Saccharomyces cerevisiae S288C: one gene and its partner. Changing the gene in region 1 together with any one later gene gives a genetic interaction. Each region holds a gene or a part of one and is shown on either strand. Other genes may lie near its edges.

Region 1 (3,600 bases):
GGAGCATTGAATTTTGGCGCTTCAACACTCCTAGCATAACGTCATCTTTCGCATTTTCATCCAGATTGTTGCTTAGTTGCTCTTTCTCAGTAATAGGAGCTTTCCCTCTTTGTTCTAGAAATCTATTAAATAATGCAATATTTTCCGTGGTATCGTGAGGTTCTTCAGATGTCTCATACTTGTTTAAGCTTCCGGATAATATGTCTATGTTCCTTAGTATTTTCGCCTTTTCTGCTTGATTTTCCCTCAACTGTTTCACTAGCTTGTTAACTAACAAGTACATATGATTCAAGTTTTCTGCTTGAGGAGACATATATACTTGCTGCTGCTGCTGCTGCTGCTGTTGTTGTTGTTGCATTGACAAAACGTTGATTTGGTCACTCATATCTAAACCTTGGCTTGAACTTCTTGTAGAATCAATATGTATTACTTCCCATATATGTCGTAATAAAGGGCACCTCTGCAGAGTTCATAAAGAATGCCGTTTTTGCTTGCGCGCCTTAATTATCTGTATTCAGTTCGATTTTACAAAAATATATACAAGGTTCCGCCTAACCTTCTAGTCGTTGCGGATATGGACGATATTATCTACCTTAATTAAATGATTATCTATATCCCTGCCATTCAACAAATCATTGCTGCGAAACTTCTCTCGTCCTTCTGCAATAGTCGTGACTAACCCTGATTGCAAATGCCTTTTGGCCACCCTTTCTTCGGTGGCCTCATAGTCTATGTCAATCTTATAAACAAGAAGTGCTCCCGTATCAGCTAATGTTTTGTAAATTTTCTTCCAGTTTTCTTGGTCATACAGTAGGTATAACCCTTCAAGTATAACTATCCTTGTAAATTTGGAAATACAGTACTGATCTGGAGTTGGGTCTTTTAGTGCATGGTTAAATCCTGGAACAAAGATATCAGGAATTGTTTGGCTAAAAGTTTTGGATAACTTCTCAAAAACGCTTGAAGTGGAGTAAAATTTATGATGTGAGGAGACCTTACATAGGGACGTCTTGGCTAGAATTTTACACAATTGTAAGAAATTGTTACTGTCAAACGTTGAGGGCGAACCTCTTCTTTTATGGGCAGTTTGTGGGTCTTTGAATAGGTCTAGACATCTGCGAGATAAGTGAAAACCATCCATTGGGACTATTTGCGCTATATTGATACTATCCTGGGCCAACTTGTTAACATTGACTGGATTATCAACTGCTGCGATTCTTATGGCATTCGCAGTACCACCTCTGGCAACTACTGCGGTACATTCTTCATTATTTGATGTAAGGGCTGAGTACTTGACTGGTTGAAAATTAACATCCTCAACATGATCTTTAAACAGCCCCTGATTTTCAATCATTTCAGCTACTTTATTGGGCTGGAGCGTCTTTAAAGAGTCTACTAGGTTAACCATAGGTTTCAACCTATCATTAACCTCAATAACATTTGGATGCTCTGACAAAAATGTGTGATATTTTTCATTTATAATTTGACAAAGTTCTTCCGCAATAGTAGACTTACCGGAGCCTGGAGAACCGACTAGGATAACACAAACCCTATAATTATCTTCGATACGGTTATCCAATAGCTGAAGAACGTCGTCTGCTAGTTTATGCGTATCGACCATTGTGGCTAGAATGATCCTCTGGTATGATACAGGATAAAATATGTATAGTACTAGTGAAATTAACCTAACAAGGTTACTTCATTTTTCCCGAAGAGCAATACTTGATGATGCTTAAAGGTACGCATTTAATGAACGAAAAATAACACAGTTCGTTTGAGTAAAAAGAAAGCTCACAAAATTTAATACAGAAAAAAAATTATATGTAAACTGTGGACAAGTCTGATAAGCCCAGATAACCCTTCTATTTCACGAAGGTGCAAGTGCGATTGAAAAGAATTGTTTCATGGCATTAGCTATCAGGACACGAATGCATAATCGTCAAGATATTATCGGTATGCAGCAGTTGAAGTTGTTATTAATGTTATAAGGCACCATCATATGTGGCTTTGGGATGATCTTCCGCCGATTGGTGTTCATATTACAAAAATTTTATCACGCTCGAGGTTAGAAGATGGCATCAATTATGAGGCATGAATAACAAGGTTTAAGCACTAGTAATCATAGCGGATGCTGAAACGCCAAGGTTAATGAGTTCATAAGATTAACGAATAACGAGAACTTAGGTATGAGTCAAAATTTTACTTTCATAATAGATTTATCGAAAATGTGATCAATTTTCTGAATAATTTGATAACTGTTGGGATTGCATTGTTGATCAAGACCATAATATTATGTACACAGAATATGCTAGAAGTCTCCTCGAGGATGTAGGAATCCTCAAAATGGAATCGGTAGTTCTACATAATAATATTACGATTATTCCCCATTCCGTTTTATATGTTTCATTATGCTATTACATTATCAATCTTGCATTTCAGCTTCCATTAGGGTTGATAACTGTTTCTCAACTTTTATGTCATCTTCCTGAACCGCATATGATAATATGCCAATAACATGAATATTACCAAATGGATGGCATTTCAAATTATTACTTTAACAAAAAGGAACCAAATAACTCATATAATAATTACCTATTTCTCAAATAGGTGGACGACGGTTTATCCAATTCCAACAATAATAGTAATTACTAATATTATGTAGATTTTTCGATCCAAGTCCTCGAGGGCGACTCATAGGAATGCTATCTTCAATCAACAATGACATCCGAATAATTATCTCAAGTTTTACAACATTCTCAAATATTATGGTAAAAAGAAAACTTTGCAATCTGCAAAATTCTCGAATTCTGAATCGCTAGATTTCCTTATGAGAAAAGTCACATTTAAAGGTGTTAGCAGCTAGTTATTATAGTCCTATAGTTCCTGTAACAATGAATTTTTCATAAATAGAAGCGGATTTAGCTCAGTTGGGAGAGCGCCAGACTGAAGAAAAAACTTCGGTCAAGTTATCTGGAGGTCCTGTGTTCGATCCACAGAATTCGCATTCATTTTTTGCTCTTCGGGGTTGGTCCTTAATTTTTTCAGTGCCATTCCTTATATTTCCAAATCTAGTTAAATGGTGAATCCAAGATTATAAAAAAAATATACAATTCTGTGTACAAAAGAATATACTAAACTTCTAGAAGCGAGTAAAAAAAAGTTAATACCTAAACGATTACGTGGAAACCTGAACGGGGTTTCTTCAAACCTTTTTGAACGATTTTTTCAATTTCATCAGGGTCAGAAGTAATACCAGTTAAGTTCTCGTAACCATCTTTGGTAACAAGGATATCATCTTCAATTCTAACACCACCGACATACATGTATCTTTTCAATACGCTCATATCGACAACTTCCAATCTTTCGGGGTGCTTTTCCAAAAATTCTTTGATCAAAAATTGATTAAAGTAGCAACCTGGTTCATTAGTGATAACCATATTTTCTTTCAAAGGACGGCGGATTCTTAAATATCTAAACATTGGATCTGGGTCGTCATAGTTTGGATTACCACCAACGTCGTGTACATCAAGCCCCAACATATGCCCTAGTCCATGGGGATAAAAAGCGCAAGAAGCTCTTCTTTTAAAGATTTCGTCCTCA
Region 2 (4,555 bases), on another chromosome or scaffold:
GAAGACGGCTGAAGAGCAAAATAGTGCAAGTAACGAACGTGAGTCGAACAATCAAAGAGTGGATTTGAACGCTGCTAATGATGGGACCAGCGCAAACAGTGCTTGCAGTTGTTAGAGAGGGGAAAATAAATATATATAAAAAAAAAGTCTGGGCAAATTGAGATAAATAGATCTTCAAAACGGGAAAGATGAAAGTCATAATTTATCGTACCTAGAAAGGAGAGGGAGTTTTCATTTTTTACCGTAATCGTTGTTTTTCTTTTCTTCTTATAATTTGTAAATTTTTTAACTGCATTAGATCATTATATTATCTTTCAAAACGCCAGTCGTTTTTATTAGACCTTTATATACGTTTCAAAGTGGTTTGTACACGTTAGTTTAGTTAAACTTTTGTTTTCATGTAGACCAAAATATAAACTTATTTTATGCCGAAAATCGGGAGATGGATTAGTTAATATTGTAAATAATGATAAATTAAAGGAACATTAAATTTACAAAGTTGCAATGAGGAGCAATATATATATATATATATGGATTTCTGAGAAATTAATTAAGCAGTATTTGAACACATGTCGTTTACTCTTTCTTATCCTTTATGTCTAATTTTTCGAGTAGATCGGTAATTACAGCTGTCAAGTTTTCCACTTTCTTAGTGAGCTCTTTGACTTCATCTTTATCTTCACCAGCATCATCTTCAGTGTCATCGTTATCATACTGTTCGAAGGAGGGACTGCATTTTTTAACGTTTTTATACCACTTCTTAGGGACTTTAAAATGGACATCTTCCTGCTCTGCTGTTCTTTGCAGTTTTAGCGAACGGGAATTCTTTAACTGGGTGGCTCTCATGCCAGAATTTCGGTTATCAGAAAACAAACCGTCATCATCATCCAAGTAGCCATCTGTCAAATCCCATGGAGTATCATATTCATTGGCATCATCGTTTAACCTTTTCATCCTGTTATATTTTATCCTTCTAGCCTCCCGAGTTTCTTTAACAGAAATAAGCAACAAAAATGGGCTGTACACTATTGTCATTACAGTATAGCTCAAATCTTTAGCACGCTTCGGTGGAAGAATACGAAAGATAGGTGTCATGAACACTTCAATTAAGTTCAATGGAGAAACATAGACATCTTCATCAGGTGCTCTAATGTATCTCAACGTCTTTTGTGACATCAAAGCCATGTACTCGTCATCTGCATTGTCAATAACTTTTTGGTACGCAGTCGAATACAAAGCAATTAATATATTCAAAAGGATAACCGAAACAATAAAATAGTAACCATAATACAGTATTGCCGCATATGGGGGAGCGAATTCTTCGAAAACATCAAAACTACCAAGACCCAAAACGGTGATTGTTAAATTACCCAGGATGGGTCCGGTGATATCTCTCTTACCATCTGCGGAATCCAAACCTAAGAAACCTTGAGTGAATCCTATCATTATTAAGAATAGAAGGAAGAAAAATACAATGGATTCTTTCATCATATGTTTTAGGATAACCAACATAATCCCAATAAACCTTTGTGATTCAAGGTATAGTAGGAGTCTCGACCACACAAATGGTGCTGCACAGGATAAGACTCTATATGATATTTTATCCCAATCTTCTGAAGAGTATTTTGCATTAAGGGGCGTTACGCTCATTGCACGGAACCCCATAGCAAACGTGATTATCAAATATGTGGTATCATTAAATAAATTCCAAAACGATAGGTGCGCATAACCAATATAATAAAGCTTAGTGAGCTCATCCAAGATGAAACCAGTATTGAAAACATAAAATATGCTTTCTAACAAATCGAAAGATTGGACTCTCTCAGAGTCCTTACCATTAACCACCAAGGTATAAAGCCCTAGAAACAAAAATGAGAAGATCATCTGCAAATAATTTTGGTATACAGGCGCCTTTAATCTTACGGGGTTGAAATGAGAGATCAATGACACTTCCGCCAGTGAATCGTCCTTGATAAAAGTTGTGGGATCCAAGCCATTTTGGACTATCCATCCTCTCCATATCCATTTTAAACAACGCTGAAATCCACTCGATCCTATCACTGTAGTACAGTGCATATCTGTGGCAAGTTCCAAGGCATTCAACGGTTCTTGATCTTCATCGTTCTCGTTGATTACGTACCGACGCAGCAGTAACTGCATGAAAAGAAACTGCAGGTCTCTTGTCTCCTCCCTTTCAATTAACAATTTACATAACTGTTGTGAGGCTAAATTTCTGGTTTCGTAAAGTTTGGCATTGTGCACTTCCATAGTGGCCAATATGGAATACCACTCACAAACTTTAAGAAGTGAAAAAATAATGACAGATTGATATTTTCTTTTGTTGGCCTTGTCTTTAGGGTTCCCGCCACATGCTTCATAAGCCAGCTTCACAACTTTTGGAGATAAAATCTCAGAATGGTCACAAACAATATCATTGGGATCGTAAACAATAGGTACGACCTTATCAATTAAGTATTTCAAATTTAACGTAACCCTGAGAATCTGTCTCGGAGTGGGGGCCTCAAATCCAAGAGATCCATTGTTTTCCGGCATGCACTGTTCGTTAGAAATTGGCAAGTGCAAGTCGCCGTTGGCTGATACCATAATGCTCCTGTTCTAGTAATATTATATTTTATAACTGAATTCTATTGCCTTACCAAGCCACTGATTAATGACAATTGCATTGAATAGGCTCTAGCTGATCCTCGAAGGATACTGACTAAATTTACCACATATTTTCAGCTCTTATGAGATAACTCCGACATAGCAACAGTGTAGGAGAAAAATTAAAAAATTAACGACCCCAGTGAGGGTTGAACTCACGATCTTGCGATTAACAGTCGCACGCCTTAACCAACTTGGCCATGGAGTCTAACTTTGTTGTTTTAGAGAACGAATGAAGAACTTATTATGACGATAAAAATATGTCAAGAGAGGCCCAAGAATGTATAAATCATTGTAAAACCAAGCAAGTAACAAAAATGGTCATGTGACAAGAGGTGGTGACATAAAAATAACCAAAGGACTAATAACTAGAGAAACAATAAAATGAGAAACTAAAAAAAGAAATAAAGCATTGAAAATCTCATTAGACTAGTTGGCTCATTTCCATGGCAAAATGTACAATTGTATCTCAGTAACGTTATACTCGCTCCCTTTTTAGGCCAATTTTATCCATTATTCTCATTCTAAAATAGCGGACATAACGAGAAAACGATTTACGTTAGAAGTGATAACAACTTTGGCGACCGGAATGCTGCATGAAAAATTATAACAAAAGGCCCCTCAAAAAGCTAAGGGACAGGGATGTTGCTGCAATTGGAATAGTATAATCGGCCGTCAAAATTATCAACTAATAGCATTGGCTACTCCAATTTGGACTTACTGGCTGGTAATTGACTTGTATAGCATTGTCTTAGCTTATTATTTTTTTTTTGCTGAAGAATAAGTAGGATAATTGAAGAAGAATAGCTAAGATAAAAAAAGATAGCTAGTGCATTCTGAAAACTTCAATTGCGTGGTACATACAATATGGCCAAAGAAGATACTGGGGTAACAGCACCAAAGAAGCCCGAAACAGCCCAAGTAGCTAACATAAATGGGATAGATAAGTTAGAACCTCCAAAGACGAAAGAGGAAACCGAATCCAGTAAAAGCGTGTCATCTGAGAAGGCGGCACATGCTAGTGATGAAAGCTTCAAGAGAAGTATCCATGAAGCTTCTTATGTCGGCTGGAAACAGATTGGTGGCTGGGAAGACAAAGACGAATTAACTTTAGATGATGAATTGATGGATATGACTAGAGAAACCTTCTTAGATAACATCATACCGGACAGCCTTTACGGTGACTGGTATCATTCGGTAGCCATTTTCTTTATCGGAGGCGTGGCATCATTTGCACTTGGTCATTATAAGTTTTCAATGGGGTCGGCCTTTTTTGTCATCGTTATCACTTCATTGTTGTATAGAACCTCTGCTAAAAAATACAGAGGTTCCATAAGAGAGTTAGTCCAGAAAGAGTTCACGGTGCAGAAAGTGGAAAACGACTATGAATCCCTAGAATGGTTGAATGCCTTTTTGGATAAGTACTGGCCCATTTTAGAACCTTCCGTTAGTCAATTAATCGTTCAGCAAGCTAATGAACAAATGGCTACTAATGAGGCGATTCCCAAATTTATTACTCAACTATGGATCGATGAGTTGACACTTGGTGTTAAACCCCCCAGAGTTGATTTGGTGAAGACTTTCCAAAACACTGCATCCGATGTTGTTGTGATGGACTGGGGTATTTCTTTTACTCCTCACGATTTATGCGACATGAGTGCTAAGCAAGTCAGAAATTACGTTAATGAATTAGCGGTTGTTAAGGCCAAAATTTTTGGTATCACCATCCCTGTTTCTGTGTCAGACATTGCTTTCAAGGCTCATGCTAGAGTGAAATTCAAATTGATGACTCCCTTCCCTCATGTCGAAACTGTTAATATCCAGCTACTGAAGGTTCCTGATTTTGATTTTGTTGCTACCTTATTCGGCCGTTCCATCTTCAATTGGGAAA

The links. Genes that interact genetically often act in the same process or in processes that back each other up.
Region 2: mutations in YFH7 (region 1) and YVC1 together harm fitness less than expected from each alone (positive genetic interaction), as found in Saccharomyces cerevisiae (one large-scale study listed by BioGRID).

What each region holds. Positions count from the first base shown.
Region 1 is NC_001138.5:157,320-160,919, reverse strand, and holds YFH7 (Yfh7p), read right to left. Parts: upstream 1,622-3,600; coding exon 560-1,621; downstream 1-559. Other genes in the region: FAR7 (Far7p), read right to left, coding at 1-385; YFR006W (putative Xaa-Pro dipeptidase), read right to left, coding at 3,168-3,600. UniProt on the Saccharomyces cerevisiae protein: ATP-dependent kinase that could be involved in endoplasmic reticulum membrane assembly.
Region 2 is NC_001147.6:485,756-490,310, reverse strand, and holds YVC1 (Yvc1p), read right to left. Parts: upstream 2,605-4,555; coding exon 577-2,604; downstream 1-576. Other genes in the region: Rab family GTPase VPS21, read left to right, coding at 1-115; TCB1 (tricalbin), read left to right, coding at 3,532-4,555. UniProt on the Saccharomyces cerevisiae protein: Required for release of calcium ions from the vacuole in response to hyperosmotic shock.